Linked DNA regions of Nothobranchius furzeri. The protein of the gene in region 2 interacts with the protein of the main gene of each other region in a pairwise test. Links are inferred from orthologs where the notes say so. Each region holds a gene or a part of one and is shown on either strand. Other genes may lie near its edges. The genes, in order: serine/arginine-rich splicing factor 11, lnx2a, phykpl, nmd3, tubb5, scly and c16h10orf88.

Region 1 (4,028 bases), on a different chromosome or scaffold from region 2:
AAACTTCTAAAGTTTGGGAGCATTTTCAGTTAAATCAGGCGAAGACATGCAACGTTTGTAGGTCAGACTTAGCATGGCACGGGGATACTACGGTGATGATGCAGCGTCTTAAACGCAAGCATGTCAGAATCATCAGCGAGGAAGGAGAGAGCTCGGTGTCCGGGTAAGTAAAAAACTTTTCAAAAGTGATTCACCCAAGCCCCGGATTATTACAGGCTAGACATGCCCTAAGCTCGTAAAAAAAGTCTATAAAATTGTAAGCGCGACGCTATTAGATAGGCGGGGGGGGGGGGGAGGACTCGCGCCGCTGCGAACCGGTTCCGCCGTCACATTCCCGCAGAAACTGGTTGATCACACCGGGGCCAGACTACTAACATGTGGTTTTACAACCACAGTGTCCTCACAAGCGAAAATGCTTTTAAAAGGGAGGGAGGAGTCCTAACTGTTGCTGCAGGCGTGTTGTGTGCGTGTAGTTATATACTGGTTAATATATTTTTGGGTTCAGTTGCTTTCATGTGTCCTAATGTGAGTCTATTTGGGATCATTGGAATGATCAGCAGCATTTCTTGATGTGACTTTAAGGCAGTTGCCCAGGGCATCATCACAAGGAGGATGGCATTCATTTACTTTTGTTTTATTTGGTATTTTTCAGTCATTTTTGGAAATAGTGATTAATTCACAGCCTATGTTTAATTTCATTTAAAAATTAGTTGTTTGACATCCCCAGTTATAATAAATGTCTACAGATGAGATCAAACAAAACAGATGAGAATTGCCCTTAAAGAGCAAGTCACCCCCAAATAAACTTTTTTTTGCTGATAAACTAAATAAACGAGTGTCTAATCGTGCTGCAGACACGTGTCGTCAATAATTTGGCACTTCAGTGCATCTTAGTTAAAATTTAAATATTCTGCCTAAAACTGGCAGTGTTGTGCCGTTGTCAGGTAAAAACTCTGCACTGTATTTTAATTTAAATCTGCCACCGCTATTGGCTAAGAAGTATGCTATGATGTAAACTGGTACATTATGATGTCACAATGCTGTCGTGAGCCTGAGTGTGTGTGTATTTGTTAGCGGCTCCGCCCTCTCGGTCTGCCAGGCAACAGCATGTGTTGCATTTTTCAAACATGAAGCGGGAGTGGAGTTAGACTCTGGTAGGGGTTGACTTGCTCTTTAAGCTGTTTAACTTGGACCAAGCATTTTAGGTCACAGATAGGTGTAGCTTAAGGTCTCTGTCTATACACCTTATAAGACAATTTAGGTGATGGCATGTTGGTTTTCTGCTATTGAACTGTTTTCTAATAATGTGTTTAAGTGAAGGAAGGAAGGAGAAAAATAACGTTTCCCTAGCAGTTTTAAAAAATGTCCCTATGTAATCCGATTAATCGTGTCGAGACCCCATCCGATTAATCGATTATCCAAATAATCGTTTGTTGCAGCCCTACTCAGGAGGGACCGTTTATGTATAAATAATTTTTATACTTTTGACTAGGCCTGGGAAAGTAACACATTTTGCTGGATGATATTTTGTCCAACAAATTGTTGATGATAAACGATATTGTCAACATTATCTAGACCAAAATAACCACTAATATAATGTTAATATATCATAATAATGCAAGTACACCCTTTAAAATGCAACAAAGAAACCTTCATTTAACATTGAAATGTCCAGAACCAGAACTTCTAAATGAATAAAAATAACAAACAAAAATTAAATAAAAAAGGAATCTCACTCCCTGTTAGAAAATGTTGCACCAAAAACAATAAAAAAAGACCCAAAACAATAAATACAATGGCCTATCCATTGTCAACAGCCAAAACTGCACTTCAATAAGGATGGAAAAATTATTGAGATGGGCACGTGACGTGTCAAGGGGTCTTTACATAACACCCCCCACCCCAAATCCGCACAAGCCTGCTGTGTCCCCCCCACTTCTGAAATCAAAATTTCGTCCCTGCAGGCACCAACCTAGGGTGAACGCTACCTTTGCTGCGCCCCTGCTTCAGAACACCCGATTTAATTGAATGATTTACCTCTGCTGCACGTTTTTTGCTAATTAACTCAATTTGTACCACGTGTGCTAAAGCAGGAACACAGTAAGCATGCAGGTAGTGGACTCAACGTGGGAAACAATCCTTTTGAATCAAATTAAATGTCTAAACTGCAATATCTCGTTCGTATTTTCTTTATTATTAAAAAATAACCCAAATAAAATTCAAGAATATATTATGCCAAATTTTCTCCAAGACGTTAAGTTTTGTTTCAAACTTCAGTTAAGAGATATTTAAATAACCGTTTGGGAACCCTAATGTTTTTCTAGCATTAAGCTTATTTACCCGAAGCGTGTTATGATCGAGGAGCGACTGGAGGCGCGGGTAAATATTAGCATTAGCAGACAGCGAGGCCTGCTTGTCGCTTTAGGCCTCCGGAAGCCCCGTCTGTGGGCTGGGAAAGCTTTACCTGAGCAAAGCACAAGGATACTCACTCAGGTGGAAACAGTTTGAGCTCTTCTATGATTCCGAGGAATCCAAAGAGAGTCCTCATTTGTTCGGACGTTGTGCTCGGAGAAACATTTGTCACCTGAATGACGTGCGTGTTAGAACTCATTTTTACACAGCAGTAAAAACAAGCAAGCAGTTAAGTTTGAAGTTAGAATCAAAGTATCAAATATTAACAGAGTCAAATTCATCAAGCGAATACAAGAAATGTCTTCCCCCAGATAAAAGGATGTTGATGAAAAATGCGATGGGTAACAATGCAGCTGCCAAATGGCCGCAACTGTCGTGACTACGGAGGCTGCTGTGCTGCCTTCAGGTGTCGTGTTTTACGCTGGTATTTTAGACTTTCTTTAATGAAATCTTGTCCGGTTCTGTTTAGGTTATAAAAGTAGAACACTCGTAGGTTATAGCGTGTTATTACAATGTACAACCCCACTAAGGTTTAAAAAAAGATTTAACTTCGTAAATATGGACATTTTAAACATAAGTAAAATAAAAAACAACAAAAATAAATGTTAATGAAACGCATTTCAAAGTCACTCTTACTCACAATAAGGCTTTTGTAACATGTCAATAGATAACCTATTTATGTAAGAGAGCTCCAACATAAATACAGACAGTATACTGAATGTAATATTAGCAAAATATATTTTCTGTATATTTTCGGGGTCGCGTCTGTCCCCACGACCTCGGAACCGACCCCGGTAAATCGGCCGAAAATTGATGGATGGATGGATATTTTCTGTAAGAATTGGCCATAATGTGACATGACTTTTCTGCAGTTTTATATCTGACATGTTTAATTAGAAAAATATAAACCCATGCTGTTAAAAGTTTGTAACTTCTTATATTTATTTACTTTTAAGCTAAAAGTTTTAACTTAATTTACTGTATTGTTTAAAATTCCTGCGCTTCACCTTCTTGCCACTAGAGAGCGTATGATTTGAGACGTTTGTAGCGCTTTAGCTAGCTGGTGATAGCTCTTGCTGCGCTGGTCGAATTAACCTTTTTGAACACAAATAATTAAAATGGATTTACTAAGTTTCAGTAGTTAAGTAGTTTTTATAAGGGAATGCGTTCTGACATTCTCGTTATTTAGAACAACTATGTTGTTCACCCTCATTTAAACCCCAAAGTATTTTATGTGCGTTTTATTTTGAAGGAACGTACAGGAAAAGCTAGTTGGTTGTGTCTTGTTTAGCTTTATAAACATTGCCTGTAGTAACAGTTTATGTCCGCTAGAGAGCAGAATCCTTCCCCTTGACAGGATTGAGTTGTGTTTTCATCCAGTTGAGCTAAATATAACATGTAAATCCCTTATAGATAGTAGGTAGGTATGTGGTATCAAATCAAATGACAGATTATAAATATTTTAATTAAAGTTTATTTAGACAAAGAACAACCAGTGAAAAAAATTGCATTTCTATTCTGTTGTTGTTTTTTATTTTTTTTTAATAGTTTACACTCATTGTGAAATCCAAATACATAAATGTTTTTCCTGATTGAAAAAAATATGGACCGTTGGT
Region 2 (4,132 bases):
TTGTCTCGGTAGGGTCGGGGGGGGGGGGGTGCCCATCTCCAGCGGTCAATGGGCAATCAGGCGGGGTACACCCTGGACAGAGAGCCAATCCATCGCAGGATCTTATTTCATGTATTTCAAAAATCAAGAGTTTTACAGTCAAATGCAGCTGTTTACCCTCTAAATTCATGCATGCACAGTTGTTTATAGTTTTCATGCATGCATCCATTGATAATGTCTGTACCTTTCCTACCTGTGTTTGAGGTGTGCCTCGAGGTCACATCGTGGCATGCTGAGAGAGCAGACAGGGCTCAGAGGGCAGGACACGGACAGCTTGTCCAGCAGCTTGTGCACCAGGATACTGGATCTGCGGCAGGCCTGCAGCTGCAGCCGTGTCCTGTCCAGAGGACAGAAGTCCCTCTCCTGGAGGAAGCTGCGCAGGCAGCGGGCGCAGAAGGTGTGCCCGCAGGGTGTGTCGAGAGGCTGCACCAGAGGCTGCAGGCAGATGTGGCACACCAGGTCGTCATCCACCTCCAGGCGGTAATTATACAGGTGGTTCTCCCAGCTGCGGTGGATCTGGCCACATTCTGGACACAGGGCCTCCAGCGCTGGCTCCACTGGCCCGGCAACATCCACTTCACTGCCTGGGCTGCCCATAGCTTCTCCGTCAATACAGTTCAGCTTTGGCACAAATGGCTCCAGTGGTGCTGCAGGGATGGGAAAGGTGGGTTGGCGGGGAGCACTCCTATCCCATAAGCTTCGACAGGTTGCAGAGAGGACGAATGCCCTCAAGCGGCCGGTGGCGCATTACTCAGCAGGTCAGAGGGCACAGCAGGAGGCTTCAACAGCTGTTTCTGCAAAACAAGTGTCTGATTATGGGAATTTATTCATGTGGCAAATGATTTGTGTGCACGTGTCTCCGTGAGTCCGAACTCTGTGTGGGAATCTGCTGAGATTATGTGTTGCTGCTCCTGTCTGCTAATCTGACAGTATAATCTCTCTTTTGCTCTCGCCTACTCCAATCTTCCAATTCGCCGAGAGGGAATTATCTGGGATTGAAGCAGAGAGAGGACACAGATCAGAGAAAGCGGGATTGGGAAATCAGCTGGAGGAGGTAGTGAGGGCAGAGCCGCGAAGGAGAGAAGGAGGTTTGAAGATGGGTGAAAGAGGTCAGGTAGATTTGTGAAAAAATAAATAAATAATAAAAAAAACAGAAAGGGCCAAGAAGGGAATAGAAATTTCACAAAAAATGCAAAGCATGAAGGCAGAAATAGTTTAGGCGCTTGATATTTTTGGCTTGGACCATTTACAAAGGATGAACTTGATCTCCTCCACAGCAAGAAGAGAACATGCCTTAAGCAAAGTCTTGAAATAAAACAAACAGAGGAAGTCCCTGGAGCTGCTGCAGAAGAGTTCACACTCGGAGCCTTCCAGACCTCCAACACCCCAGAGGGCCCGATGCCTTCAGCGGACAGTAGAGGGCGTGCCTCCCTGCTCAGTGGCCAAGCCACAGTGACTACCTGCCTCTGTTCCAGCAAAGGGTCTGCTCCTGTCTCCATGACGACCTGCATCCTGTTCTGCTCAGTGGGGCTTGACATTCAGAGTGTAGCCAGCGAAGGATGCAGAGGAGGCGCAACAACAGATGCACTTCTCCCAGCAAGATGCTGAAAGCTCGTCACACTGCGCAGAGCAGGATGAAAGTCCCTCCGGTTCATTTCTATTCTTGCGTTTGATTTGATCTGCACAGATTGTCTCCTGACAAACCTGTCCCTACCGTCTCCTTGGCCACGGGACCAGTAGCCCCTTATTTCTGTCTCCTTTTCAAGCACATGCTCCTGTCTGTGTGTGACTGGCTGCTTCTGTCTCTATCCCGCAGCTGGACATGAATTAATCATGAGGACACAAGGCTTCTCTGTTTCTGTAACAAAGCTGTGACATCACCACATCACACACAGACGTGTAGACATGCAGGCGTAAACCTGCACGCGCATACGCAAACAAGCACACGAGCTTTATCCAGCAGGCCCTGAAAATAATCTTTGGGATTTTAGAACTCTCAAAGCACTTTGATCTTTTTCAGGACAATAGTCCTCTGCAGAAGTATGAATGCATGCATGCTTTGTATTGTATTAACGAATGACAGAATTTTGTCTACACACAAATGACAAACTAAGGTTTTAGCACGTGCAGAAATGCAATAACCAACAGAAATGGCATCATAATTTAGGCCACAGATTTTAAAACTCAAGTTTATCTTACGTTCGACCCGATCTCTTCATCCATGTTTTTAAATTTATTTAGAAGAGGCCTGCAAGGTGTGTTTCAATTGTCTGTTTTTCTCCAGGCAGACGTGCAGGGGTGACAACAAAAACAGACACTGATTTGATTAAATCTAGCATTTTCTCCTCCTCCCGGTGTCGTCGTCCCAGATTGCCTTGCATAAACTGCAGTGTCATATTCCGGTTAAGTCAACATCGTTATTAAAATCATCGCACCCCTCTTTCACCTCCCTCCCCAGCTGTCTGACTTCATCCCATCCTGCAGAAGCGGAGGCGCGAGAGGACAGGACAGAAGAGGCGACAGCATCAACCCCGCTCGCTGACACAGCTCATGCAGGAGATGGATGTCTCCAGATGTGATGGATGTTTTACCTTCTTCCGGCGGCTCCTCCGCGCCGTCCACTCGGGCCCCAAAGCGGGGAGCAATTATCAGCTGCGGGGCGTCGATCACGCATTCGCCGCAACCGACGGAGAGCTCCGCAAGCCCGCAAGAAAACGCCCCCGTACCGTTGGCGCCGCTGATCCCGCCCACCGCTGCCAATCAAAAGGTGATGGGAGGAGTCTACGGAGCTGAGTTTAGAGGTGGCTTACACCGACCGCCTGTTCAAAAACAGGATCAGAACAAAAATTAGAATAGAATAGAATAGAATAGAATAGAATAGAATAGAATAGAATAGAATAGAATAGAAAAAAACAGAACAAATATATACTTAATTATCTGCCTCAAAAGTATTCTTACAGTGCTGGGTGAAGTGTATTACCCACAAGTCATTGCTGCAGGAGAAAGGGTTCAAGTTCCTTTTCTGAATATTTTCTAATGGAATGAGTTAGTTTTGGGACAATCAGTTGATGCTCTGAATGTTTTAGACAAAGCAGCAATTAATTAAAATTTATTTCAAATAATGGGTTGTTTGTTTAAAAGTTGTTAATAAAGGCTTTTGAAAAAGTATCACAGGACCAGCATCTCGGCATGCGTTGCGTTTCATGACGCAATGCTCCCTGTCTCACTTCAGCAATTATTTGCACAGTTGTAGTCCACGCACTCGAAGCCTTACTGCACACTTTCTCCAAGTGCACTTTGCTGAAGACTGCAGGGCGCAATGCGAGTATTGGCACTGGGCCTGCTTGTGATGTCACAATTGGGGACAATTTCAAATAGCTTGTTTTAGGCACAACATTTCTACAACCACACATTGGCATGTTTGGAGCGTTTATAGAGGCAGAGTGCACATGGCGGCACAAAAAGGATGCAAAAGGCATAATATGTCTTCTTTAAGAAGATTACTTCTAAATAAAAATGTTTGTTATTGTCCTTTAATGTATCACAATCTAGATTACTAAAATATCTTGCTTGATGATATTCTGTAACTATCACTTTACTTTTGATTAAGCCATTGTATGTATTTAAATTATTTTTACAATTTACCAAAGAATTAAGTTGGCTTAGTTCCCAATGGAAAATGTTTAATCAAATAAAAAATGTACAAGTTTAAATGTCACATTTTACGTTTCGATTTGAGTATAAATCCTTTTTTTTAACAAAGTGTGTTTATATATTTGTTTGATTCTATGTTTGTTTTAAAGTTATTTGTGGCCAAATGTTGCTAAAACAATCAGCTGTAAATGTTTTTCCAGGGGTGCCCCATAACTTATTGAACTTTTAAAAATATCAATTATTTTAATTAAAAAAGATCAATACATAATACACAAACATATCTACTTGTAAATAAAAAATGTAGTTTGGTTTCATAACTTATTTTCAACATGATTTTGCAACTGAACAGGCATTGCTCCGGGCAGCTAAAAACAGGGTCCGCGATTGAAGGACCTCTCGGCGAAGTGAACAAGAAATGCCTCGTAAATTAACGTAAATT
Region 3 (4,256 bases), on a different chromosome or scaffold from region 2:
GTGCACGAGCAAATAAGCAAGCTTTCATGTGCACAGATTTTAAATCATTTTATACTAAGTCTTAAGTGGAACTATCCTACACTTGCCTCTCAGTAGTCTTGCATATCGAACAAAACATGAAAGTGAGCATTTACTGAGACATGCTTTGTGCTTACATGATACATGCAAATATTCCATGTTTCACTCTCCAGTGAGAGGCTGCAGTAGGCTGCTGTCGGATCCTGATCTCTTCATCTAAAACTGAATGAGAACTCTTTAAACCTAGCTTGATGTGGAGTCAAACACTGAAGTAGCCTAAAATCTGTAGGTTCTCTCCAGTACACCAAACACAATACATTCCAGGATAAGCCGTAACCCCCGTAGATACATAAACACGCAGCCTGTTTGTGTGGATCAACTCTGTTGTCAGAGGGAAGTTGTGGTTGTAACTGCTAAACTTGTATTTTCTTTTGTCTGCGTGGAACTTCTGTCCTTGTTTTGACGTCAACACACATTGGCCACATTAATACTGATGATACTGTTAACGTACCACGCCTTAAGCCTCGGTGCTCTGGTTATTTCCCAGCCAGACACTTTTGTAGTCTTCGTTTGCACTGATTCAGATAGGTTTGAATGCGTGGAACGATGCACTGGAACAGATGATTGAATAGCTGAATCTGGGCTGCAGCTGGACTCTCTGGCACACCATAACACAATGTACAGCGATGAGAGTGAGCGCACATGTCCAGCCAGTACTGTGTGTGTGTGTGTGTGTGTGTGTGTGTGTGTGTGTGTGTGTGTGTGTGTGTGTGTGTGTGTGTGTGTGTGTGTGTGTGTGTGTGTGTGTGTGTGAGATTGGATGTGGTGATGCAGATGACCTGGTGGCCTTTCAGAAAAGATTTTTGTGTTTTACAGATGGAAGTATACTTGTTGCACAATTTATGTATGAATAAAACTTAATAGAGATTGCTTTCTTTTTCTTATTTGCTAACAGTCCTTTTGCCTTGTTTTTGTAATTAAATCACCCAGCCATGAGAGAAGGTCATTAGGGTAGGTACCACGCCTAGTGGTGAAAAAGCAGAAGACTTGCATGATGAATGAGACCAATGGACCGAGTTTAAATCCACATTAAACTTGAATAACACATTTAGACATAAATTGTAATCGTCTATTAACAAAGTTACATTTATATTCATGTTCGTGTCGGATTTCCTTCATGAGCTTTTGGTCCATGACCGGGCGACCACTCATATCTGATAAAAATCGAACTTTAAAATTGCCCAAAGAAATCTTTAAATGAAAAAATAATTCCATTGAAAAGATGCAAAATGTGACCATAAATCTGTAAATTCCTAGCTGATCTTAACTAAAATTAACTAAAAAGTGCCTTTACCAGGAACACTAACGATACGTTTTAAAGACTTTTTTAATGTCCAAACTGTTAAACTAAATAATTAAAAGAGATCAAGTTTCATTTCAGTGAGTCTGATTTGAGACTTGTTGCTTCAAACCCACCCCGAGTCACGAACGCAGCTAAAGTTCTACACCAACCCTGCGGCTCGTTGAGCTGAAGTTACACCAGACAAGACTTTGGCGTGTCTGACATATTTCGTCGCTCCGCCGTGGAAGGTGAGGGCGCTCCTTCCAGTGCTTGGACGCTTCTCTGTTTTTTTTTCCCCAGCCTGTCTCTGACCCCCCCTCACCAACAAGCCACTTCCTCTTTTGTCTAATTTCATGGCGATCGGGAGAGAGGGAGCACCGACGCACGCACACTGTTTCGCCACTCTTCAAAGAGTTGATTTGGGGTAAATAGTCCTCGTTTTTTCCCTCTTTTCGGTACTGGAGACCAAGCGTATTCAGTTGGATTTAATCTAGCTGGAGATGAACATTTCCCAGCGCAGTTCTTTATTTGCTCAGCTTCTGGGTCAGATATTTCACATTGTAGCGCCACTCGCTGATAACAAATCGGACGAAATGGGCTCCCCCTCTCTGCCTGCTCCGCTCCCACAGACTCAGCCACACGCTACTTAACGGCGCAGGCAAGCTAACGCTAGCATCGCTGCAAACGTCTCAGATATGAATAGAAAATAAGTTCCGTGGACATATTTATGAGTTGGTCGCAAGAAATAATAATGATGTTGTTGAGAGTTAGAAAGTTGGAAGGTTGAAAGAAATAGTTGTAGTCCCCAGGTGTTTGGGTTCGGGTTAGCAACCAGCGGGTAGCTAGCCGCCGTGCTATGTTTTTAGTTAGTTGACTCAAACGCGGTTCAGAAGTTTGTGTTTGTTACATTCCTTCAGAACAAAGATGCCGAACTGGGCAAAAATTACGTAAACCACCCCAAAAATACATATAAAGCTTGCACTTGCAGATAAAATAACCAGCAAACATCTCAGGAACCCGGTGTCTGTGGAATGGACTAGAAACTAGCTAGTTAGCACCGTCAGCTAACTTGTGGGTTAACGGTAACCACTTGGCCACCGTTTAAAAATATCCATTCATTACGTATTTCCACATTACCTCCTGATTCTGAGCGGTTGGGACACAGTAACTGTTAAATTCTATATCGAGTGAGGCGTGAAAGCCAAACTAAAGTTTACCAAAAAGTTGCAAACCAGAAAACAACAGCAGGCGAGAAAGTTGAATGAGTTTGCTCTAAAGATGTCCATCACTAACGGTTGCAGGCTGCTCGTTCTGTCTGCTGTTAATTTTACATTTAGTCTAGTTTAGCTGCAACAGTCTAACTGTTTTGTTTGAAGAATAATTAAAAAAGTTACACTTGAAGAATTCTGAGTATCACTTACATGAGTTTTTGTCTTTATGCTGCTGAGGTACAAGTTGTTCTTTTGAACTTTCACCCACAAACAAATTGTATAATCATAATAATGTTAATGTTAATAATCACAACCCTTCTGTGTGTTTAGGTGTCTGAACAAGTGTTAAACATAATATAAGAAACATTTTATTACATCTTTCTGGGTTCCCACATTAACAAAATATCAAACTGATTATAAAGAAAATACTCAATTGTACTATTTTATTACAGCTGGGAGAGAAATGATGGAAGAACAAGTGTACATACAAACTTTAGAATGAAACTTTCTCCCTAGAAGCATAGGTACCTAAATTGATCCAACACTATTATTCTCATATTCTTGATAAATATTAAAATGAATAATGATTGGAGTTGAACAGCATTTTGTTTTTGGACAATATCACAAATTAAGTTATGATTTCTGAGAAAAGAGATGGCAATGAAACACAAAAACCAAATAAATGATGCTTTAAATGGAAATAATTGTTCTGAAATCACACAGCAGATCATTTCTATAAGCTAAAGTGGTCTAGAGAGCACACATTAGTTAGTTTTATTAATCAAAAAGTTTTGATGAATTCTTTGTTTGCATGATGCTTAAAAATCATGAAGTGTTTTTGTTTGCTCACCTGCAGAGCTGCCAGCTGTATAACACTGTTTACTTTTTGCTTTGTTGACAGCCTAAACTAAGTTATAGACCTGACTGGCACACCACACGACGTTCTCCAGGTGAGTTTTGGTATCACAGATAAAGATTTATGGTGTTGTAATTAGGGATGCAACGATACCACTTTTTTTCCAAACCAATACGATATCGATACTTGGATCTGAGTACTCACCGATGCCGATTACCAATAACGATACTACTACCACACAAAAAAATGCAATGATTTGAATACAGATTTTATTTTCTTCTCTGCTTTCAACAGAGAGACTGTGAGGTAGATAAAAAGTAAAATATATGAATGGAAATCATAACAAAACTAAAATATTAGGTGAACAGAAATGACAAGTTACAGTGAAGCCATTTTCAAGCAATTGCATTGGTATTGGTTAACCTTTACCGATGCCGATACCAGTATCGTATCGGTGCATCCCTAGTTGTAATTAAGATTATACACACACACACACACACACACACACACACACACACACACACACACACACACACACACACACACACACACACACACACACACACACACACACACACTCTCTTAGTTACTCTTTACTATTATTCACCTGAGACAGAATAAAACATTTCACAAAGAGTAATCTTTATTTAGCCTCTTGATTTTGGTCACAGATCCCCTAAGGCACTTATGGACCAACTATATTTCAGAAGTATTTTTTTTAGCGTTGAACTGACACTACTGAGGTGGTTTTTTCATCCTTTCATCTGTCCATTGGGTCATTTTTGTCTCGTAGGGACTCCAGAGTGGAGAAATGCTTTATGATTGCATT
Region 4 (3,388 bases), on a different chromosome or scaffold from region 2:
AAAGCTTGGGTCCACTTCACTAAATGCGATGGGTAACTGGGTGATGATGAAACCAGCGACAACGATCTAAGTGAGACATCCTCATCTTAAAGGGGCATTATGAAAGTTTGACAGCCAAAACATGTATAGAAATAATAAATGTCTTCTTCATACATTCTCCTGCAATGCCCTGGTCCTGTAGAATGAGCCCTGGCATTTTTACTGGGATTGCCTGTTTTTCTGTAAAATCACAGAAAAAGAGAGTTGCTCGGGTCGAGCAGGCTGCTTCATGCGTGTTCACGCTCAGGCATCGCCCTCTGAACCGTTGTTTGAACGTTGTTTCAGCTATCATGAAGGATATAAATGTTACAGATACAGAAGACGCCACTGGCGATTTAGCTCGCCCAGTATGATGTGGGGCTTTCGTGCAGAAGACCCGGGTTCGTTTCTGGATGTGAACAGTTGTTTTAGAGTTTCTTTTTTAGATTAATGATTTATTGTTTTTAGAGTAAGATGCCCACATTTTTATTTGAAACTCGCCGAACGGCATTGAATTCACAGATAAAAAAGATGTGGGTTCATCTTTCATTTTGGAACAATTTTTCAAGCAAGGGAAGGGAATGATCTGAGCATGCAGGAGGACTGACCCATCTTAAACCTTTGTCGGCTGTGCTGAAGAGAAAGGTACAGAACCAAATTATTTAATTAATTAGCTGCACGTTCTCCTGTCCTCTGTCCTCCGGGCCACACACACACACACACACACACACACACACACACACACAAAGGAACTGTCAGCTCTCAGAGCTGACGCTTCACAGAGCTTCGTCTCAGCTGTTATTTTCGTTAAGGAGTGTGCACGTACAGCATGCGCACCTCGTGCACGAGCCTCCTATTGAAGCTGCCGTTACGCTTTTGGCCCGAGGGGGCAATCACGAGCATAAAAATTCAAAACTCCGTAAAGTCCCTTTAAGCGTTCGCTTTCTCCTCTGAACTCCAAATTTCGGACTAGAAGAACATGAACGCGCTCTAAAGTTTGGCTTCACTTTACTAAATGCGACGGGTGATTGGGTGAAGATGAAACCAGCGACAACGATTGAAGTGTGAGGCATCATCATTTAAATCTGCTCCAGCAGCTAAATAAACGGTTTAAGATAACGTTAGCTTGATATATTAGCTTCCATTGTCACCATTGTTATCAGCTAATGGTGCGTTCACTTTCTGCTTGGAAATTCTAACTTCCCAGTAGGAAAAATCAAATGAAAAGGACGGCAAAAGGAATGAAGATACACAGTAAATTAAGTTCACAGTAAAGATGTTTGCTTCAGTTTAATTATCAGCTTATAAAACTACAAGGACGATGTTAAAATACAAACAGTTGTATGTTATTTATCGTGATATTTATCAAATATGGTTATTGTTGAGAAAAATATATATTTAATTATAAAAGAGAATTAAAATATTAAACACTCAAAAGTATCTAAAATTGGTACCGTTAAGTACCGGTATCGATTCCTAGGTACCGGTAATTAGTACCGAATCGATTCAAATGTCAAAGGTACCCATCCCTAGTCCCACACACACATTTAGTGACACTAGAGTGCAGATCAAAGGGTTAAATGGTGCAATAATCCTTCGTTTTTTTTTTTAATTACTGGTTTTTAACAGTTAAAATGTCCCGTGGATGTTTTTGATCTTCTGTGGCAGATAAACTGGCTCTTATTTTCATTTTTCCCATTAATCAGACAATACCAAGACTTCCTAGAGGACCTGGAGGAAGATGAGGCTTTGAGGAAGAACGTCAACATCTACAAAGGTGAGCAGCTTCTTAAAAGCTTTTTACGTTTATATTTTCAGACTGTGGCTCATTTATTGACTCTCTTTAGTTTGTTCTCAGAATTTGTCACATTATCCGTCAAATATGTTTAACAGGGTATCCGCAGGTCCTTAAAAAGTCTTAAATTTGCTTTTCCAAATTTAAGGCCTTAAAAATCCTTAAAAATGACAAATAATCCTTAAATACAGTTTCCAAGGGTCTTAAATGACCAAAGACCCAATAAACTAAATTCTTTTACTTCTATAAAATTTTTGTGAATTTCTAGTTTTGTGTTCAGCATTTTTTGTGTGTGATGTTGGCGTAAGCGGAACCGCACACATTCAACTGGTTGTGAAAGGGGGCTATTTTTAGATGAGCACATTAGCTGGTTATGCTAGCGGGAGCTTGCGCCATGGGGAAATGCAAGTTTAATGGTAACTGGATGGCTAATCCCACGTTCGCGATGTGGTTAGCGCCGGTTCCAGGCAATAGCTGGAAATTATAGCTTAAATTTAATTAAAAAAATAGCTTAAATTTGGTCAAAGTGACCTTAAAAAAGGTCTTAAAAAGTCTTAAATTTGGCTCCCTTAAACCTGCAGATACCCTGGTTTAATCAGATAGACTGAACAGATGGTCATTTACTACACTTTCTTTACCTCAGATGCCTCCAAGATCCCAGTGGAGAGCGACACGGATGATGACGGAGCCCCTCGCATCTCCCTGATGGAGATGATGGAGGAGCTCAGTCTGACAGATGCCACAGGAGGAGAGGGCGCTGACATGATGACCGAATAACCAGCTGCTCGCCTGCGTGGCGCTGATGATGCAGTGAATTACAAATGTCCGTTTTTGACCTCGCCACAAACCGATGATGTTTGATGATGAAGACATTCTGACTGAGGTTCATAAACTGGGACTCGTCGTCTAAAAAAGCACTTTCACTACAAAAGAGCTTCAACTTTTACATCTGGTCTAATAAAACACCTCGTATCGTTTCTACTCTCACTCAGCATTTAAAACGGGTGTTTTAAAATGAGTAAATGTTATGAAATGTGAAAACAAAGTGATCAAAATAAAAATTCACCCATCATGACACATTTTTATTTGTTTTCTGTACCGGAGCTCCCACCAGCAGAGGGAGCTCTGTCCTAGAAAAATGTTTAAAGTTTTACATTCAAAACACACACACTCACTCACACACACACACTCACACACACACACACACACACACACACGAGTCAGTTAATGGTGTCAGTTAATGGTGTCGTTTGGCTACTGTGGAGGATATGCAAAAACCTCTTCAGCTGTGGTGTGTTTAAAGGAAATGGGAGTCTGTAAAATCTGGAATACTTGATACGACTTGGATTTAAATATGCTTTAAATGACAAAATGAACAGCCCCTTGTTTGTATTTTGTAGTGCAAACACGCATGTTTGCACTTCTTAAACATGTTTATATCACCAGGAGCTGTACGATATGCAAAAAAGTTTAAAAACATGGCGCGGCTGCAAATCTTTCAGCAGTTCTCACTGATGTGTAAAATATGTAAATAATGGATCAGGCTGAGTGTAACTCTCGCTGTGGGTGTATGGA
Region 5 (4,122 bases), on a different chromosome or scaffold from region 2:
GTACTAAAAGAACGGGAAAAAGCTATTCTGAATAAAAACAATTGTTGCACATTGCAGTCCATACATGAAGAACAGAAATAAAAAAAATCAAATCAATCCTAAAACAACAAGTCACGGTGGATGGAAAACTATAACTATAATTTGATGTTGATGATAATGTTTAATTGTAATTAATTCTGTCAAATAATGTTGAAGCTCTATATTTACCGGTCGATCTAATTCTCACTTATGGTCACAAGCTTTGGAGACCGAAAGAATGAGATTGCGGTTACAAGCGGCCAAAATGAGTTTTCTCTGCAGGGTGGCTGGGCTCTTCCTTAGAGATAGGGTGAGAAGCTCAAGCTCGGTCATCTGGGAGGGGCTTGAAGTAGACCTGCTGCTCCTTCACATTGAAAAGAGCCAGTTGAAGTAGCTCATGCATCTGGTTAGGATGCTTCCTGGATGTTTTCCTGGTGAGGTTTTTCCGGGCATGTCCAAACAGGAGGAGAACCGAAGAAAGACCCAGGACATGCTGGTGGGAATATGTCTCTCACCTTGGGATTCCCTTGGAAGAGCTGGCCCAAGTGACTAGGGAGAGGGAAGTCTGGGCCTCCCTGCTTAGGCTGCTGCCCCCAATGGAAAATGGATGGATGGATGAATAATGCTGATAGTTGTGTTTTTGTGAATGATTGTGAAGCAGAAAATCCATTCATTGATTTTTTTTGTATCTCCCTTTTTCTGTAAGGGTCATGAGGAGCTGTTACAACTGAGCAGGCAAGGGGAATGGGACACTGTAGACAGGTCACAAGTCCATCACAGACATGCAAGTGGAGACAAACAAGACAAGCAACCAATCACACACACACACACACACACACACACACACACACACGTAGGAAAAAGAGTTGCCCATCAAATCAAACTTATACATTTTTGTTCTGTGGGGCCCATCTGTGCCACCTATACACACAATCAGCCAATCAGATCTAGTCATACTGTTTTATTGGTCTAACCAACGTTTTCAGTATATTATCAAAATAAAGAAAAGACAGAGTTTAAAGGAGCTAACTGTCATTCTGCCCCAACTGCACACTGGAATTGCTGCCATCTGTTTTCTCACACAGTCGCAGCGATGATCAGCCCCGGCTGACACTAAAACAGCTGTAATGCATATTTCTGGACACCAGCTGGTAAAATTCTGGTCAATCTCCTTTTCCAATTCCCACTCCCTGATCTGCAGCCGACACGTTCCTCCTCCCCCTGCCGGTCCTCTCGGCCAATCGGCGCGTGCAGAAGCGTGTTGTGGGCGTGGCCGCGCCCCTCTCTGGAGACGCTCCAGCCTTATAAATCCATTGTCCCCCCGGTCTCTTGTCACAAGTCGGCTCGTGCTCGTCCACTTTAATCACATCGCACCTTTTTTCCCGTGAAACCTTCGCACCCATCATGAGGGAGATCGTGCACATCCAGGCCGGCCAGTGTGGTAACCAGATCGGTGCCAAGGTAAGCTCAGAAAATCTGTATAAAATGTTTCTGTGGAATAAAACAGGAGTTACTTTTGCGTTACTTTGTCTAAAGCATTCACAATTACTGTTATATGGATTTATTAACTGATGAAGATAAAGAAATTTACATAAATATGTAATGAAATAAAAAAGTAGTAATGGTCCAGTCTTTGTGAGCACTGCAGTGCACACAACACCGGGTGTGTCTGCGTCCCAGCTCCTAGGATTCAGCCCATCTCAACGCACTGATTTAGGGAAAAAGACAAAGGAAAGAGGGGAAAATGACTCTTTTCTTCTCATGTCAGACCCCCACAGCCTGTGGAGCCTTCACTCTGCTTGCTTTGTCTGGCCCAGGCTGATATGACTGGTGTTTCAGACAATGAGTGGAAGTCTGGATTAAAGGCCTAGTTACCCCCCACCCCCAGATGTCTATGAATCAATAGCACATATTGATTAGATTTGAGTTCTGCAGGCTGCAAAGGCAGACTGCAGGGTGAGCTATTCTATTGGGACGTGATGGAAGGGTGTGGCATGAATAATTGTGAGAAGACAAGTCATTCTCTCCTTTTTTCTGCAAAAAAACACCCTTATGTGTTATTTACTATAATATTCTATTCATCTGATATAATTTGTCATTGCATCATTTAATAGTAAAGTCTAAAATGTTCATCAATGACATCACCCGCCCAGTCTGTCTCTTAGCAGCCGCAGTCTGCAACAATAGGTCTGGGTGGCCCATTATTTCTGCTGTCTTATTGTCTTATTTTTGTTTTACAACTGATCATTTGTAAACGCATGCACACGCTCAAATCCATGCCCTGGAATTAAGAACCCATGAACATTAGCCCGGATTAATGAAGGGTGATCTTTCTGGCTGAGATGTCCTGGAAAGCAGAATCTTTCCTCCCCTAACCAAATTAAGAGAAGGGTGGGGGAGGAATGGAGGAAACAGCTGATGCACAGCGGACGCAAAGTCTCCATTTCCAGTGGCCTTAATGGGCAATAGTTGTCTTCCCAAAGGCACACAACAGATGGCCTTTATATTTTATTAGACATATTTTTATCAAGCTTGTACTGTTAATCATTTTCCCTTGTTCGGGTCACCGCTTTGGCCTGTATGATCGGCTAAAACTACTAGGAGTGGTCTATCAGAGAGCCAACTCGTTTGTTTCCGTCCCCTGGGGGCTCATCGACTCCGATGTGCAGGATTTATGACGGCCAGAGATGCTGAGCGGCTGCACGGTGGTCAAATGGGTCAGGGTGTGGCCTTGCTTTTCCTGCTCGTTGTCCTCATTCTTTCACTGTGATCTTCATCATCACTGATGGGCCGTCCATCAGTTTCTGTCTTCTCACTTCTGCGTCTCTAGCATCGCTCACCCTCGTCTCGTGACATTTAAATGTCAAGATTTGTACTCCACAGCCGTTTGTCTGCAGTGCAGCCGGCGTTAACGGGAGGCTGTAAAGTCTCATTTTGCAGCTGAATACCATAAATCTAAGTGAATGTGTAAAAAAGCAGGAAATGCAGACATGCAGAGGATTTCCTACAGTATCTTAGTGGATTTAATGCGTACCCAGCCTCCCAGAGCTCCGTGGGCTTTTAAAGCCGGAGCAGGACTTGAATACAAATTTAAAGGCCCTCATTGTCCTCGGTGTTGTGTGAGACGCCTTTTTCATTTTCAGTTTGGCCTTCGGAGTGATCAGTGGCTCCTTTGTGCTCCTCCTCCTTCACGTTTTACATATGAAAGCGTTGCATAGCTTTCTGCAGAGTCATGAGCTGGCAGCTTTGGAAATATTTGCAGCTGCTCTGCAGGAAACTGCTTGAATCCTAGCGTATCCTCCAGAATATAAATATGCAAACCCATTGCTGTTATCCTCATTTAAAGTCCCAAAAGGCCTGTAGCTTAGAAGTGAAATGAGTCCCGTCATGTGATTCCTGTCTGCAGTTCTGGGAAGTGATCAGCGACGAGCACGGCATCGATCCCACTGGGACGTACCACGGAGACAGCGACTTGCAGCTGGACAGGATCAGCGTCTACTACAACGAGGCCACAGGTAGACCGTCGTCCTGAAAGGCTTTTCATGACATAAGATGTGCTGTTCCATAATATTTTTGTCCATTGCATTGCTAAGCTGCGATGTAAATGTTACGGTTTCCTCTTTTCCCTTCTGCTCTCCCGTTCACTTTCCTGTGGAGGAGGTAAATATGTTCCCAGGGCCATTCTTGTGGATTTGGAGCCCGGGACCATGGACTCTGTGAGGTCTGGACCTTTTGGGCAAATCTTCAGACCTGACAATTTCGTCTTTGGTGAGTGTCTTCCAGAGAAATCCTTTTACAATATCTGTGATCTGTATGAACTTAGAAAACAAAGTCTCACTTCTTCCACAGGCCAGAGTGGTGCTGGAAACAACTGGGCCAAGGGTCACTACACAGAGGGGGCCGAGTTGGTGGACTCGGTCCTGGATGTGGTCCGTAAAGAGTCCGAGAGCTGTGACTGCCTGCAGGGCTTCCAGCTCACCCACTCTCTTGGAGGTGGGACTGGATCTGGAATGGGAACCCTCCTCATCAGCAAGATTCGTGAGGAGTACCCAGACCGAATCATGAATACCTTTAGCGTGGTGCCTTCCCCCAAGGTGACCCGTC
Region 6 (4,024 bases), on a different chromosome or scaffold from region 2:
ATTGAAGATTACAGGAATGTTACATACGCAGTTTGCCATGTACATACGTCAATGATCATGACAGGTGAAAATAACAGCCTTGTTAGCGGACAGTTTAATACATCACTAGAACATACATCCTTGAGATTACCAGGAACATCCTGATATATTCATGACAGGAGAAGATACATTCACTGGTACCGAGAGGCACTGAGTGGAGATGGAATGTGCACACTCCTTTCTCTTGTGCAGGAGAAGATACACAGCTATTAATCTTTGTGTGAAGGCCTTGAGTATCTGAGCGAGTTTCCATAGCATAGAATAATAAAATGAGCTTATAAGGTAAATATATATATATATTGCCTCGTTAGGCAGGATCTAACATGTCACAAGAACTTGTAATTCTTAAGATAAGCAGAAACATCCTTGGTAACCTGGTACAAGAAGAGACTGCAATGTCTCACTCCCTTTTGGAGTTCCTGCAGCTGTTTTAAGAGCTTGTGCAGGACAGTATAACATGATCCCATAAAAAGAGTAGCATGTAAGAATGAATAATAAAAGAGCTTATATGAGAGTTACATATATTTTCAAACGGTACACGTTGAAAGAGGTTCTCGTGGCCATCAACGATTGGCGGTGTCGCGAGAGGCTTTCGAACACCTTGTGGAAATGGGTCTGCCAACGAGTGTCATTACCAAACTCCTTGGTGTATCCAGAGCAACTCTATTTAGACGGATGTCTGAAAATAATATATTTATTTATATATCTGTATCTGCCACATACAGTAAATGCAGTGATGAGGAACTAGATTATTTTATCACAGTAATTAAGAGCAACATGCCAGATGCTGGGTACAGGGTAGTCCGAGGCGCTCTACTTGCCCAGGGACATAGAGTACAGTGGGACCGACTGTATGCATCCATGCATCGTGTGGACAGTGCGGGTGTACTTGCTCGAATGACACATCTGGGATGTGTAGTGAGAAGGACGTACACAGTTCCTTGCCCAAAGTATATGGTGCACATTGACACCAATCACAAGCTCATCAGGTAATGTCTGTGTGTAATTGGAGATGTTATTTTTTGTTTTGGGAGTTACATTTTTAATTGTCTGTGTTTTAACGGTCTATCTATCTATCTATCTATCTATCTATCTATCTATCTATCTGTCTGTCTGTCTGTCTGTCTGTCTGTCTGTCTGTCTGTCTGTCTGTCTGTCTGTCTGTCTGTCTGTCTCCATGAGTGAACCATGGAGGACAGTGACGATAACAACAGCTGTGTCCCTTTAAGACGAGTCATTCTGCAGCAGCGTCTCATATGTAGCTAGCTAATCATTGACACGACGGTAACATCATCGTTCAGGACATCTTTACATCCTACCTCAAGGTCAGGCACGAAGCCCAGACTACTTCATAGCCTTTACTGTCTGTGGAAGCAAGTGATGCAGCTTTACGTCTTTGACGGAGATGCGGCGTGAAGTGAACTAAAGGGCGAGTTAGCTAAGCTAGCTTGTAGCTAAAGTAAACACACGGGGCACTGATTATCTGAAATATCTTCATGGATCCTTCATGGTTGTGTCCGAACCTCCCCACTGTTCTGGTTGATCCGCTCAGGCGTTTGTTACAGCACACGTAACTTTAGCACACATGCTAGCTAACTGTTGACAGAACGGTGATGAGTGAGAATGAGTCGCAGCAACAACCAGAAGGATAAAAGTTACAACCTGAAGGCATTTCTTATCGTCTTTAAACAAAACTGCCCCATTTACATGTATTTTTTATTTAGTAAATTTACAAATGGCACCTTGACAATGTTAAGTTCAAAACTTAAATTCAAAAGGAGCAGTTAATGTAACATTTGTAAATGTCCAGTAAAAGAGAACAACAAGAGACAAAAGAACATGAAGAACAAGTACAATGAGGGCACAGCGTAAATCATATAGAATTAGGAAATCACTTTGGAAGTTCAGCTAACCCCATTTACATTTATTAATCAACCATTTCTAAACAGAGCCGGGTAGGTCAAGCCGAGTTGGCATTTAATGTTAGAAAGGAGCTTCAAAACATGTATTATTAAAATTACCCCCATAATGTCACACTTTTCTTAAATAAATTATATGATTAAGTCAGTCGCTGCATAGAGCTTTTTCCTCGCGATATCTAAAAGTACAGGAGTGGTATTTATTATGATCATTGTGGACATCTGAAATAAAATGTTAACAAGGAAACATCACGTCTAAAATATGTTAAATATAAGGTAAAATAATTCTAGTATACCACAGTAATCTAAGTATCCCCTAACAGTAAATGTAATGGTGTTCTTATGTGTGGTTTTTAGATATATTTCATTTCACATCTGCCTATTTGGGGTTCTGCAGTAGGGCTGGGCGATATGACCTAAACTCAGTATTGTGGTAAATTGAGGATTTCACCTCAATTATGACAAATGGACGATAACTACAGGTATGTGCAGAAAAAAAAACTGTCCACTAGATGGGGCTGTCACGTGTATTATGTTGAGTCATGTGACTAGCTGGGTGGTACAGACATGAATGTCACCAACCTACTCCCATCTTTTCATTTTTGTTATCTAATTTATTCACATGGGAAAAACGATAGAGATTAGAGTCGGAACCTTCGATAATAACTTTTCGATTGATTGCCCAACCCTACATGATAACCTAATATCTTTTGGAAAGATGCCTATATTGTATGTTACAATGGTCTACCATGTATTTGCTTCTAGGAGTAGAATGGCCAGCAAGTCTGATGACATCACCCTGGTGATGGGCCGAACCTTCACTGACCACGATCTTCATCACATTCCAGACATGAATGTAGACCGGTAATACGTTTTAAAGTGGTGCTTTCTCAATTTTTTTATTAAAACATCCCGAAGAAGGCTGAAACAGCTCTGTCTATACCTGTAGGATCTACATGGATTATAATGCCACCACCCCTCTGGAGCCAGAGGTGGTTCAGGCTGTGTCTGACGCTCTCCGTGATGCTTGGGGGAACCCCAGTAGCAACTATGTGGCAGGTGAGGTCCACGTGTCCAAAGTAGGATAAGTAAGCATGACGATACATTTTTATGTTCATACTTTTGATGTTTTTTTTTCAGGTGCCACAGCCAAATCCATCATCAGTCAATCCAGACAGAGTGTGGCCAGAATGGTTGGAGGGAAATCAGAGGACATTGTTTTTACGTCGGGTGGAACAGAGGTAAATTATGGACGAGGCTTTGATCAGAATGATAGTTTTTTTGCATCTCTTTGTAGTTTCTAACAAGTTACTCACTTTGCAGGCCAATAACCTGGTGCTGCACACCGCTTTGGAGCACTTTAAGAAAAGTTGCAGGGCTGCAGAGCAAAGTGAAGGACCTACAAATGGGTGCCCTGGTCTTCCTCACATCGTCACCACCAACGTGGAGCATGACTCGATCAAACTCACAGCTGAGCACTTTCTCGCGGACGGAAAGGCCGGTAGGGGGCCACTCCTCCTCTAACTACCATTGTCTTTCTGTAACAATTCAGGTGAAGTGACTCTCCTGCTTTTGTCATAGATGTGACATTTGTGCCCGTGTCTAAGGTGACAGCTCGTGTGGATGTGGAGGATATTATTGCTGCCATTCGTCCCAACACTTGTCTCATCTCTGTCATGTTGGCCAACAATGAGACGGGAGTCATAATGGTAATAGGAGCCAGCCGGCTGTTGCTAATCCTGAGTCTTTTTTCCAATTCTACCAACTGACTGGTGCAACTGGAGTGACCTGATAAAACTGATGGTTGTTCCTCCTTCTAGCCCGTCCAAGAAATCTGCCAAAGAGTAGACCTGCTCAACAAGCAGCCAGAACGTCTCCGGATCCTGCTGCACACCGACGCTGCTCAGGCTCTGGGCAAAATCTCCGTGGAAGTCCAGGAACTGGGAGTGGATTACCTTACCATAGTGGGCCACAAGGTCTGAGAAGCTTTTGCGCAGCACGTTTCCAGCCTGATCAACATTGGATCAAAAGTGTTAGTGGGAGGTTATTTGTTGAAACATTTTTCT
Region 7 (3,957 bases), on a different chromosome or scaffold from region 2:
GACAGGTCATTAGTCAGCTGGTTAATGTCGGCATGTGCTTTCAGGAGGAGTCGAACCACTGCCAGGTGACCTCTCTGCGCTGCCAAGTAACACGCAGATTCTCCCTCATGAGTCAAAGAGTTCACAAAATCACGACTTCTAGAGAAACATCCTACACACAGAGAGATGGGTGGACACCATAGAATGAGAAATCAACATGAAATGCAGACCCGACTCTAAAATCTGATCACAACCCACTTTTGGTGGAAATAACACAATAACCTGAGTCTGCATTCATTTCAACACAGAGCCCAAGCTATGTGTGTCAGTTATGAACAATTAAAACACAGTAACTCTAATCAAGTACATAGTCACAGGTGAAGCCAGCAGAAGCTCAAATTCAGCAACTTTAGTGAAATTTGGATGAAATCACTTTCAAATACATTTTTTGTCTAACAATCAGTTTCCTCTTGAGTTTTATGTCAGAGTGGCTGTGCAAAAACACCAAATTATATCTGTCGAACGTTGCCATTTTATTAACTTTAGCGAATAAGAAAAAAAAGCTACCATACCTTTCTTACAATTAACGGCAGATAATATTTCCAGCACACACTCCTTACTGCCAGCTGCAGACGCCTCATGCAGAGCATTCCAGCCGCGGTTATCTCGAGCATCCACACTGAACCCTCTCTCCATCAGCCTCCTCAGCTGTCTTCTGCTGCCTGAACGGGCGGCAGCAGCAACACGGGACACAGTGTCTGCGTAGCACTCTGTGAAGTCCATTCTCTGCTTTAGAAAACAGGCAGTTTTTCAAAAGTGTGAAAATGAATGAAAGAGAAGAAGAAGAAAAGAGAAAGCTAAAGTCCTTCAGAGATCCTGAAGTTAAGCTACCCTAGCTTAGACAGTGTTGAAATGACCACTTAAATCACAATAGTTCACATTTGTTGTTAGAATTAAAGAATAATATATAACACGATTGGTTGAATCTATTTTGGACTGAAAGCATCAAACACAAGGTAATAACAAAACAACATAGTTTATCAAGGCTACACTAACTGAGCATCTTTTACTCAAAAACACGTCTACTTAATGTGCAATAATACTCGCTAAATTCATTGGGTTGTTAAAAATAAAGGGATTTTCTTACCAAAACAAAAGTGCTGGTGGGTGGACTGAGTCGCTGGTTGATGACGTACCTTTTTTTCCGTCGCGTGGTACAGCGTCACAAATGCTTCAGATTACTTAGGTAAATTTTCAGTTTATTTTTGTTATTTCTCTCTGAAAGCTCGGCCCAGGGACGCTTTTAATCACGCCTGGAGACATGAGAGGAAGGAAAGCCTGACTGAAGCCGATTTTGTCTCAGCTGACGCAGTTTTACTGTAAACAGCCCGTTATTGTTAACGTTAATGTTAGCTAGCTGCACGATGAAGGAACTAAAATCTGGTTCAGTTCTGCTTTTGTTTAGAAGTAGAGATAAAACTGCAACCCTTCAAATGCTCTTACAGCATTTTGGTGCTTTTTTCATTCTGGGGAGCAACTTGTTATTTTCCGTTTTAAAAAAATGTATTTCATTCAACCACATTATTTCTGGCCAGCGTATGTAAATCACTTCGTGTTTATTCAGATAACGCCACATTAATAAGAAAGATAATATTATAAGCAGCTTGTATTCAGGCACTCATTTGATTATGTCCTTGAATAAAGGGCTAACTAAACGCTGCTGAATCTAATTTTTCTAAACTGTCTAACATTTCCTTCAGAATCCCTACATATACTCTGTTATTATTTGGACTTAATGCAGAATATTTCTCAGTTGTGTCTTTTTTCTCTTGTGCTTAAGGTAACATCCCACCTGCAGCCCCACCGGTAGCATCATGGTGGACATCAGTGTAAAAAGAGCAGCTGCTTGGGTGTGTCAGACTCATGACCTGGCAGATATCCTTCTTCCTGTTCATCTCAGCACAAAAGACAGTGAAGACGAAGATCTTAGTCTGACGGAGAAAGAAGAGACTGACAGGTTGGAAGCCTTTTATCAAGGCAACATGTGTATTTCTGGGTGTGCATGCTTTCTTTTGCAAGCAAATGTGTTTCTACCAGCAGAGGATGGAAAGATTGATGTTTGCCATGAATGGTGCTTTATCCTTTTGCGATCTTTGCAGGGTTGTTTCTGCGCAGTTGGAGCAGGTGGAGGAAGGATCGCCCTGCATCCTCACTCTCAGCTGCAGGTCCAGCTCTGATACCATCAGCCGCCTGATGGTCGTCAGCGAGGCTCGAACCATGGAGGTGTACAACCAGATGGAAGAATACTGCGGGACAGTGCGAGGCATAAAGGATAAAACAATCCAGCTTGGGTAGATGAACCCACACTGAAATATTAGCAAGCAGAACACTGTGCAGCTGTTTAAATGACCACTTCAGATTTTACAGCTATATCCCCATTCTAGGGGGTATATTAATTTTTATACATCTCAAAGTGTTTGTGAAATCTTAGATATCTAATATTTATACTCATGCTCTCTAAAGAGACCCCTAAAAATACAGCCTAACAAGCCTTCAAAAGATATTGTAGTATTTTTTGAGTTTGTCAACTAATTGATGATCTCTGTTCCTGTGGATCACAGTGAAGACAGAGGTCCTGTTTACAAGAAGCAGCTGATCCTTGAGCATCCATCATCAGCTTGTGAAGTGAAGGTGAGACGTGCCAAAATTAAGATTCTGCATCAGTACAGTGTTTTTATGTATTAGAATAGACTTCATTGATCCCACAGTAGGGAAATTCACTTGTTACAGCAGCACCAACACTTAAGAGAATCATTTGAAGAAAAATAATAACAAAGGTACATTTATATACACATATTGTAACATTTAACCACTAAAAACCACAAATAAAAATGAAAAATTTGGGTTCCAGAACTATGCAGCATATTGTAAGGGACACAGACATACTATATAAATCAGGTATTGCACAAGTACTGAACATAGTTTTGCATTATCCTAAAGAAAAATTGGATTGAGCAATATTTTAATTTAATTTTTAAATAAGTTTGATTTGATTCTTAAACTGGCTCTGCATTTCTCTGGCTGCTTTCCCAGTTGCTGTCCCTAGCAGGCAGAAGTAGTGTTGTGGTGTGTCGTGTTGTTGTGGGCCTTCAGGAGCTTCAGCCTGGCCCGGCTCATGGCCCTGGTATAGACCTGCAGCAGGTGCAGTGTCTGGTTGAAGAGATGGGAACAAGTTTGTCTCCTGGAGCCCAAAACCTCCTGGATATGGTGCAGTTCCAGCAGAAGGTGGGAGACTGACCCTCTCTGAGCTCATGGTACCACTTTGGCTCCGTCCTCTTTGATGTGTTGATTCCTGCCTGCTAAACTGACATCCTTCTTAAAAACATTTTACAGTTACATCAGCTTTGATACTCAGATCAATGAAAAATCAGGGAATAATACAAAAAAAGAGCTGCGTTGAAACAGAAATGTGTTTTTCCAGAATCAGATGAGCTCTCTGAGTGGGTTCCTGCCTCTTCTGATGGGCGGTGGAGCTTTGTCTGCCTTAGCTGGAGGAACCGGAGCATCTACGTCAGCTCTCAGGAATCCTCCTCAGCCATCAGGCTTCCTGGTATGGGTGCTGATTGTTTTTTATTACCCGAAAAACTCTGATCTCTCACTGGAACTGAAATTACATCCTTTCATCATTCACTGTTACTAATTTTTTCAGGCCAATATTCTGTTTAAATGACTTTTGTTATTATTTATATTAGAACGGTTATGTTCTGGCTAAGTCTTATGATCCAGGACATACAGAATCAAAGGAAGAGGGTTTAAAAGGAGAACTAAGGGAGCGCCGTCGAAGTGAGGCGAGGGTCTGTACAGTCACGTGACATGGTGGTCGATTTAGTGGAGGGATGACTGGAGCTGGAGAGGGAGGTGGTCAGGCCTGAGGAGGGTTCAGGCTCGAGAGAGGTTCTCTGTAGAGGAGGGGAGTGC

What was found.
Region 1: the proteins of lnx2a (region 2) and serine/arginine-rich splicing factor 11 interact in a two-hybrid assay, tested with the Homo sapiens proteins (3 studies listed by BioGRID and IntAct). The link is inferred for Nothobranchius furzeri from reciprocal best matches to the Homo sapiens genes LNX2 and SRSF11.
Region 3: the proteins of lnx2a (region 2) and phykpl interact in binary tests that used the Homo sapiens proteins (3 or more experiments, as listed by UniProt). The link is inferred for Nothobranchius furzeri from reciprocal best matches to the Homo sapiens genes LNX2 and PHYKPL.
Region 4: the proteins of lnx2a (region 2) and nmd3 interact in a two-hybrid assay, tested with the Homo sapiens proteins (3 studies listed by BioGRID and IntAct). The link is inferred for Nothobranchius furzeri from reciprocal best matches to the Homo sapiens genes LNX2 and NMD3.
Region 5: the proteins of lnx2a (region 2) and tubb5 interact in a two-hybrid assay, tested with the Homo sapiens proteins (3 studies listed by BioGRID and IntAct). The link is inferred for Nothobranchius furzeri from reciprocal best matches to the Homo sapiens genes LNX2 and TUBB.
Region 6: the proteins of lnx2a (region 2) and scly interact in binary tests that used the Homo sapiens proteins (3 or more experiments, as listed by UniProt). The link is inferred for Nothobranchius furzeri from reciprocal best matches to the Homo sapiens genes LNX2 and SCLY.
Region 7: the proteins of lnx2a (region 2) and c16h10orf88 interact in binary tests that used the Homo sapiens proteins (3 or more experiments, as listed by UniProt). The link is inferred for Nothobranchius furzeri from reciprocal best matches to the Homo sapiens genes LNX2 and C10orf88.

What each region holds. Positions count from the first base shown.
Region 1 is NC_091748.1:59,490,342-59,494,369, reverse strand, and holds the start of serine/arginine-rich splicing factor 11, read right to left. Parts: upstream 2,801-4,028; 5' UTR 2,612-2,800; coding exon 2,490-2,611; intron 1-2,489. UniProt on the Homo sapiens protein: May function in pre-mRNA splicing.
Region 2 is NC_091747.1:51,103,466-51,107,597, forward strand, and holds the start of lnx2a (ligand of Numb protein X 2a), read right to left. Parts: upstream 2,801-4,132; 5' UTR 2,631-2,800; intron 2,608-2,630; exon of another isoform or gene 2,239-2,607; intron 834-2,238; 5' UTR 637-833; coding exon 233-636; intron 1-232.
Region 3 is NC_091741.1:97,210,117-97,214,372, reverse strand, and holds the start of phykpl (5-phosphohydroxy-L-lysine phospho-lyase), read right to left. Parts: upstream 2,801-4,256; 5' UTR 2,782-2,800; intron 1,785-2,781; exon of another isoform or gene 1,618-1,784; intron 1-1,617.
Region 4 is NC_091753.1:52,720,024-52,723,411, forward strand, and holds the end of nmd3 (60S ribosomal export protein NMD3), read left to right. Parts: intron 1-1,724; coding exon 1,725-1,795; intron 1,796-2,456; coding exon 2,457-2,590; 3' UTR 2,591-2,888; downstream 2,889-3,388. UniProt on the Homo sapiens protein: Acts as an adapter for the XPO1/CRM1-mediated export of the 60S ribosomal subunit.
Region 5 is NC_091745.1:74,453,510-74,457,631, forward strand, and holds the start of tubb5 (tubulin beta-5 chain), read left to right. Parts: upstream 1-1,322; 5' UTR 1,323-1,422; coding exon 1,423-1,479; intron 1,480-3,424; coding exon 3,425-3,533; intron 3,534-3,675; coding exon 3,676-3,786; intron 3,787-3,867; coding exon 3,868-4,112; intron 4,113-4,122. UniProt on the Homo sapiens protein: Tubulin is the major constituent of microtubules, a cylinder consisting of laterally associated linear protofilaments composed of alpha- and beta-tubulin heterodimers.
Region 6 is NC_091756.1:60,348,215-60,352,238, forward strand, and holds the start of scly (selenocysteine lyase), read left to right. Parts: upstream 1-1,224; 5' UTR 1,225-1,364; intron 1,365-2,723; 5' UTR 2,724-2,730; coding exon 2,731-2,822; intron 2,823-2,907; coding exon 2,908-3,017; intron 3,018-3,098; coding exon 3,099-3,199; intron 3,200-3,281; coding exon 3,282-3,459; intron 3,460-3,539; coding exon 3,540-3,667; intron 3,668-3,778; coding exon 3,779-3,934; intron 3,935-4,024. UniProt on the Homo sapiens protein: Catalyzes the decomposition of L-selenocysteine to L-alanine and elemental selenium.
Region 7 is NC_091756.1:51,770,885-51,774,841, forward strand, and holds the start of c16h10orf88 (ATPase PAAT), read left to right. Parts: upstream 1-1,157; 5' UTR 1,158-1,225; exon of another isoform or gene 1,226-1,358; intron 1,359-1,819; 5' UTR 1,820-1,853; coding exon 1,854-1,996; intron 1,997-2,138; coding exon 2,139-2,330; intron 2,331-2,600; coding exon 2,601-2,670; intron 2,671-3,072; coding exon 3,073-3,264; intron 3,265-3,460; coding exon 3,461-3,589; intron 3,590-3,957. Other genes in the region: asb3 (ankyrin repeat and SOCS box protein 3), read right to left, coding at 1-151, 552-762. UniProt on the Homo sapiens protein: ATPase that regulates mitochondrial ABC transporters ABCB7, ABCB8/MITOSUR and ABCB10. Regulates mitochondrial ferric concentration and heme biosynthesis and plays a role in the maintenance of mitochondrial homeostasis and cell survival.